Caenorhabditis elegans: one gene and its partner. The protein of the gene in region 1 purifies or fractionates together with the protein of each later gene. This does not show direct contact. Each region holds a gene or a part of one and is shown in the gene's direction. Other genes may lie near its edges.

Region 1 (3,755 bases):
ACTAAAAAATCATAAAATAATAAATCATTGGAATTATTTTTAAGAGTTTTCCACAAAGAAGCTTCAGAGTTTTGAAAAAAAAAGTCACGAGAATCGTATCTTTTTGATCCGCAATCATATTGGACCAACAAGTAGGTACCCAGACTCATTGACTCATCTTCACGAGTGCACAAGCAGCTGACTACCAATCACTTGTCACCGTAAATTCTCGTTCTCTAAACTTCTGGTCTATGATTGCATCGGCTATGATCATGATCAACATCAAGTTTACAAGTTATTATATTATTTACTAATGTGTTTTTTGGATTTTTGGCTTTAGAAAATAACAATTTTGAGCACTTGTGGGTATTTTGCTCTGCATCAAAAAAACCTTTAAACCGATCTTTAGTTGGAAAAATTGATTTGAAATATTTAAAAATGAGTCGACAGAATTTTGTGACTTTGGGGGCTGAAATTTCGAATTTTTGAAAGAAAATAAAATGAGAAAGTGATAAAAATAATTAACCCAAAAATTCCCGCGGACATCAATTCCAAGTTAGTTCACACCAAATTGGTAATCGTTGACAAGCATTTTTACGAAATGAGCCAATATTTGTTATTAAAATTTAGTTACAGAGTCTAGAAAAAACATTTGCTTTAATTTCAGTTGGAACAGTTTTAAAAAATGCTCAAAAATTGTCTGAAAGTCGGAAGTTACAGGAAAAAATGTCGCATTATTTGTCAATTTTTTCCATCAATTTTCAACTTTCAAACTATACGTGAGCGTTTTTCAAAATTTTCAACTGAAGTTAAAGCTATCAAATGTTTTTTAATGCTCTATCAATAAATTAAAATGAAATAGTCCAATTTCAATTCATTTTTTCAAATTCAAATTTCTTATTGAAATCTTATTCACTTTTTCTCGAATTCCCCAATAACTGGTTTTTATCAGAAATCAAGAATGATATCACTTTCAATTGACAAATGAGACAATTGACGACGGCAGAAATTGTGAGGTCATTGGTTTTTGGCAGGAAATCTAATTTTTAACAAATAAAATTCTATAGTCTATTGTTACAGAGAACACATTAACTAGTATTCGAGTAGTTTGGACCCATTGATAAACAATATTGATAAGGTTTTCGCGATCTGTTCATTTTGCATGTAGATATTGTCTTGATATTTACTAGGTTTATATAATGCGATTTTCAAACATTTGTGAAAATATTTTTCTTTAATCCTTTAACCATGATCCGTTTGCTAAAAAATAGCTGTGAACCTCAGCAATTGACCATGTTTTTCCGTAGTTTTTTGAAACTTCACCAACGTCACGAATTGTTTGTTTTTGTAGGAGTCTTGGCCATTTGAACATATTGGTTAGCGGAATAACACAAAAAACAGATAAATTATCTAATCTTGTATTTAGGTGGAGTGCTTTGTTTTGAAAACCTATCCGCCAACGTTTTTTTTTTAAATTTCTATTTCACTTGCATTCAATGATATCCTATTCAAATAAAAACATTTTACACCAAAAATTAAACTGATGCAGTAGCATTTCTCTGAAATCTTTAGATCAGAAAATGGTTTGTCAAAAATTATACCATTTTTCTAGATTGTATGACTTGGGCAACCAGCTATCCACCCCCATCTAAAAATTTGCATTAATTAGCATGTATTTTTCCTCTCGTTCACAAAATCTGAATCGATTTCCTAGCGGGTCTAGTTTTATGTGTGCTAATAATTTTTGATCTACACATAAATTCGTTTTGATTTTTTGACCTTTTCTTCTTTTTCATTTTATGTTATTTGCCATAGAAAGTAAATTTGAAAATATTTTATCAAACCGAACATCAACCCTGCCTTTGACCGACGTTATTTTAAATTGTAGCCTAAAAAACCAGATTTCCAAATATTTTTTCTCCCTTCGCGTTTCTCTATTTTCCATCTCAATTTTCTGGATCAATGATTTTTTTCAAGTTCCGAATTTTCAGATGCGGTTAAGTATCCAAACCATTCTCTCAATAATTATTGTCACGTTATCATCTGGAATAAACTCATCAAAATGTCGGGATGGAGTGCATAATGTCATTACAGTGGATTCATATGGAAACGGTTAGTTTTTGAAAAGTTTTTACAGTCATTATTTCATCTGAAAAAAATTGAAATTTCAGAAACTCTCCCAGTGGAAATTCGAAATATCCGAATCCATGTCTACGATCATGATATGAAGCCGTCGTGTTACAAGCGAAAAGTGAATGTGGTGATGCCAGGATGGTTTGTGATCAAGAGTGGAGAAGTAGATACATCTCGAGATTTCGATGTTGTCAAAGACGGAGCAGTGTCTGTCAGTGTCGCGTTGGATGGTGATCATATTTGTTTGAACGGACATTCAGATATGTTCATTGTTCCCGAGTCGTTGTGGTTGGTTTTTGCTTTTTTCTTTTGCTTAGATGAACACTTGAATCAGGGGTGGGCGGCAAACAATTTTTCGGCAAATCGGCAAATTTTTCCGATTTGCCTAAATTGTTGGATAAACGGCAATAGCCGAAAACTTTCGACTAATTGTGGTTTTGTACTTTTTTTGGAAAATTCAGAATTTCAATTTTAATCGACAACATTGCACGCATCCTGAAATGAAACGTACTTTGAAAATTAAGCAAATTCTATCAAAATATCGAGAAAAACGGCCAAAAACGGCAAATGCTGCCCACCCCTGGTTTGAATGACATCCTGAATGCAATTGCAATTTTCTGGAAATATTATAGTTGACAACTTTTTATACACTTCTGCCAGAAAATTGTCTTTGCAAATTTTTTCCTATTTACAGCATCTCGGAAAGTTTTTGACCCAATTTTTGGTACTATTTATTTACAGTACTAAAAAATTCCTAATTCTGTCTAATTTTTTTAAACATTTCAGCAACTTCGAGATGAGCTCATTTTTCCCGGTGGATATTTGTAAAACACTTCAACAAAAAGGACTTCATACATTGAAAGAGCTCGAGGTATTTTGGTTCTGATCGTATATTTAGGTTATTAATTTAACAATTTCAGACAAAAAATGCATTCAATGCCACGTTGGAACTTCCTGCGTCTCCAAGCTTCTTAGGAATCTCATTGTTAGATGTGATGAAGGTTAGCTCTAGATTTTTGGCGAGTCTTCCCAAATTGAACTTTTTGCAGGGCAACTATCGAATCAAAATCTCTATCGCATCCGAGGGCAAGAAAATCGTTGAATTTGCCCTTCCAACGGGTTACACAGATCTCAAAATGGGGCTCAATGAGAAAGACGACGAAGATTAAAGCTCAAGCTTGCATAAAAACTAATTTTCCTGTCAAAAATGCATATTCATATTTTACTAGCAACCATTGTTTTCGGGTATGTCTGTGAATAAAAGTGTAATCTTCCCTGGTTGTGAGATTTAAGCTTGAATTTTTTTAAATAACAAATTTATTGACTAGAAGAAAAATATATATTTACATTTAAAAAATAACCAAACCAGACTTTACAAAAACTCGAATAATCATTTTCCATACATCTGATTCATCATCATCATGTTTGGTGGCATTCCATTTGGCAGGCACCTTCCAAATTGACAGATCATTCCCATTGGACAAGATATTAGGTTGTGGCAAGCTGAAATATTTTTAAAAATTTGAAATGGTTCTTTGGGGTTCTTGGTCAGGTTAGATCAAGTCTAGAGGCGTGATATACCTCAATAACTCAAACTTTCTAGTTGAAAAACCTTTAACAACTTACCAAATGTTGTAGACATC
Region 2 (3,755 bases), on another chromosome or scaffold:
TTTTTGATTTTTTTCATCAAAAATTGTAGTTGTTTTTTTTTATTTTCTTTTTAGAAAGAAAATGTTATCCAATTTAATTCTCATAAAATGCGAGGGTATTTCATGATTTTATAGCCAATTTAGCATGAGATATCCGTACAATCTTACGATAATTAAATTGGATAACATTTTCATTCCAAAAATGAAAATAAAACAAATAAAATCATATTTTTCGGCTTTTCAACCCCCATTAAAGTCCATATTCTCAGACAAGTCACTACGTCGTTCTGAAACAATTGGCCGCGCAATTCCTGATGCTTTTCGGTTACTATTGTGACGTAGAAGACACGTGGAAACCCGAGGAAATCAGCAAACAGATTCGTAAAATTGTCGAGACGACTTCTCCCTCGTATAATGGAAAATTGTTGATTTTAAAAGGTAGAAATTCTGCTAAAACTTTGAAAAAGGCAGAAAAAACCCACGATTTTCTAATTTTGAAAACAAAAAATGAACAATTCAAGTTCACTTTTTGAAATTCCGCAAAGAATTAAAAATTCTGATTTCAAATCTGGAAATTGAGCTGATAAAGTAATTTTTTACCTTTTTTTTTCGGAACAAATTTCAAATTTTAAACAACTTTAAAATGTAAAAAATCATGCAAAAATCGTGATTTTCAATCAAAACCTATTTTAATCTTTACAGCTTTTGAAATTTTTCTGAAAAATTAAAAAAATCCGGTAAAATCTAGAAAAAACTAATTATATACTGTTTTTTCGGCTCAAAAATTTAATAATTCCAGTGAAATTCTAAAAATTTTTCAAATTTTCAGATCAAACAGTTCGAGCACAATGCGTTTTTCTTTGTGTCTGGAGACTTGTGCAGAATAAAGAGTCAGATGGACCACTTTTGGCGCCAAAAACTTCGTATCGAAACGTTTTTCTAGGTATTTTTTAAAATTTATCTCGGAATTTTCGATTTTTCGAATTTTTAAAAATTGAAAAACGAAAAATTTTTCGATTTTTTGAATTTCCGAAAAATTAAGAAAATGTTCAGAAAATTAACCATAAAATATGATTTTTTTTAAATCTAATTTTCGATTATATTGATGAGAAAAAACATGAAAATTTTAAGCTTATTTTTTAAAAATCTATTTTCTCCGTAATTTCAGAATTCAAAAAACTCGTTAATCAACACTATCCTCCACTGAACGTGAGCAGTGATGTCTACGTATTCCGAGAATTGGATCATCTCGTTAAAATGGGAATTTTGAAGGCAGACGAGAGCACAAATGTGACAAATACCTCGTTTCGGTGGGTTTTTTTTTCAGCTGAAAAATTCACCTCAAATCCTCTTTTTTTTCAGAAAAGTTTGGCTTCATATCAATGATAAAATTGTGGAGGACTCGATCTCGAAGTTGCAGCTCCCGCGAGTTGTTTCCGACTTTTTTATGACTATTTTGAAGTAATTTTGATATTTTTTGTACTATTTGCAATGAAGATTGATCTCGATATTTATATTTTTGTTGAGTTTTTTTTTCTGTGAGAATTATTTTCGGTTTAAAAACCATCATATTATTTTTTGAACTTGTTTTATAAAAATCTTTACAGGAGCTTCAAAAATCGAAAAAATAAAATAAAACCATTTTTCGTTAATTCAAAAATCCCGAAATAAAATATTTAGTTAAATTTTCATGTTTTAGGGGAAATTCGACAAAAAAAGGAACTCACTGAAATTTTTGAAAAACCGTTCAAATTTACAAATTTTTTCGTTTTTGAGTTTTTGAGTTTTTTGATTTTCGACTTACATTTTCTCCGCAGAAATTTTTCAGTGTTTTTGACGAAAAAATATCGAAAAACGAAAAAAGAAGTGAAAACTTTTAATTTATCAAAAATTATGTATATTCCTATATTGATAGATATGGAAAATTAGAAATTTTTCCAAAAGTCGAAAAACTCAATTTTATTTCCAAAAAAGCGGCATTTTTTCGAAAATTTTACAGAACGACCTATCGTTGTTCCCACAGCTTTTATTTAAAATTTGTGCTAAACTATAAAAAATCACAATATTATTCAGAAAATAATTTTTTTTTCATCAGAATTATTGAAAATTCGATTTTTGGTCCTAAAAAAATTACTTTATGACAAAAAAAATTAATTTCTCCGAATTTCAGATGTCCCACGAGTACGATACAGTTGCACCGCCAAATGCGAAGCGCATGAAGACGGATAATCAATTGGAGGACAAGAAGATTTTGTACGTTGTACTGGAAGGATGTAGTCTTGAAACTGCAAAAGTCGGTGGAGAATACGCAATTTTGAGCAGTGATAAACACGCGAATTTTCTGAGAAAACAGAAAAAAGATCCGGCTGATTATCGGCCAGATATCCTACATCAATGCTTGTTGAATCTACTTGATAGTCCGCTTAACAGAGCCGGAAAGCTTCGTGTCTTCTTTAGAACGAGCAAGAATGTGCTCGTTGATGTCTCACCACAGTGCAGAATTCCAAGAACTTTTGATCGATTCTGTGGACTTATGGGTGAGTTTTTGGTTTATTGGAAATTGAAAAAAATATATTTTGAAGTGTTTTTGTATGTAAAATAAGAAAAAAGACAATTTTTCGAGTTTTTTAAAAATTATTTTTTATCAAATTTAAACATAAATTTTTAAAAATACCCTTTTCCTTTTAAAAATACCCGGATTCAAAATACCCCAAAATAGTCTGAAAATCAAAAAAAAATTCACAAAAAAGAGCACAAAAATCCAATTTTCAAAAACATGCTTTAAAATACTTTTTATTGGATTTTTTGTGACTTTTCTTGCAATTAGGTATTTTTATGCAAAATCCCCCTATTTTCTATTTTCCATATTTTCAGTCCAACTCCTGCACAAACTCTCCATTCGAGCCGCCGAAACCACTCAAAAGCTGATGTCAGTAGTGAAGAATCCAGTGTCGAACCATCTTCCAGTGGGATCCCGTAAGATGCTCATGTCGTTCAATGTACCTGAGCTAACAATGGCTAATAAGCTTGTTGCACCGGAAACCGACGAGCCTCTGGTCCTTATTATCGGTGGAATTGCTCGTGGAAAGATCGTCGTCGATTACAACGATTCTGAGACCAAGATCAGCAATTATCCATTGAGTGCAGCGTTGACTTGTGCCAAAGTGACCAGTGGACTTGAGGAGATTTGGGGAATTATTTAATTGATTTTTTGCAGTTTTTTCATTTTATTGTTGTCTGTTTTTGTTACTATCTTCATCTTATAAAGTGCAAAATCACTTTTTTTTTTCGAAAAAAAATGCCGTTTTTTTGTAAATTTCAATGTCTATTTCTTACTTTTACACTGAAATTGTTTTAAAAAAATCAAATATTCTAAAAACCCAAAAAATTAGTTTTTTCTTTGATTTTCCTTTCGTAGAGTTCTCTTTTTTTTTTATTTTTTCAGTTTTATTAGGTAGTAATTTAAAACGTTTTAAAATTTTACAATATTTGGCATAAAATTCGGCAAAAACTTTTTTTTTTCAGAAAAATTCTAAATAAAAAAGTCCAGGAGCCTAACTTTTCAGTTTTTACCAATTTTTCAGACAAAATCGAAGAATAATCGTGAAAAATGCGATTTTTTCGCTAAAAATACGGTAGCTGGTATCGAAGCGACAATTTTTTTAGTTGCAGAAGGATGTGCGCCTTTAAAGAGTACTGTAGTTTTAAACTTTCGTTGTTGCGGAATTTTTATTGATTTTTTGTAGTTTTTCGATAAATTATCGATTAAAAAAAAA

The links. Proteins that work in one complex are often made in the same cells at the same time.
Region 2: the proteins of T05A7.1 (region 1) and emg-1 fractionate together in Caenorhabditis elegans (co-fractionation; one large-scale study listed by BioGRID). This does not show direct contact.

Annotation. Positions count from the first base shown.
Region 1 is NC_003280.10:4,676,248-4,680,002, forward strand, and holds T05A7.1 (uncharacterized protein), read left to right. Parts: upstream 1-1,968; 5' UTR 1,969-1,970; coding exon 1,971-2,091; intron 2,092-2,150; coding exon 2,151-2,400; intron 2,401-2,898; coding exon 2,899-2,983; intron 2,984-3,032; coding exon 3,033-3,113; intron 3,114-3,161; coding exon 3,162-3,281; 3' UTR 3,282-3,388; downstream 3,389-3,755. Other genes in the region: T05A7.3 (CUB domain-containing protein), read left to right, coding at 1-1; T05A7.7 (EB domain-containing protein), read right to left, coding at 3,503-3,615, 3,739-3,755.
Region 2 is NC_003281.10:10,647,370-10,651,124, forward strand, and holds emg-1 (Ribosomal RNA small subunit methyltransferase nep-1), read left to right. Parts: upstream 1-2,149; coding exon 2,150-2,516; intron 2,517-2,853; coding exon 2,854-3,182; 3' UTR 3,183-3,539; downstream 3,540-3,755. Other genes in the region: orc-4 (ORC (Origin Recognition Complex) subunit), read left to right, coding at 249-417, 809-922, 1,148-1,289, 1,342-1,444.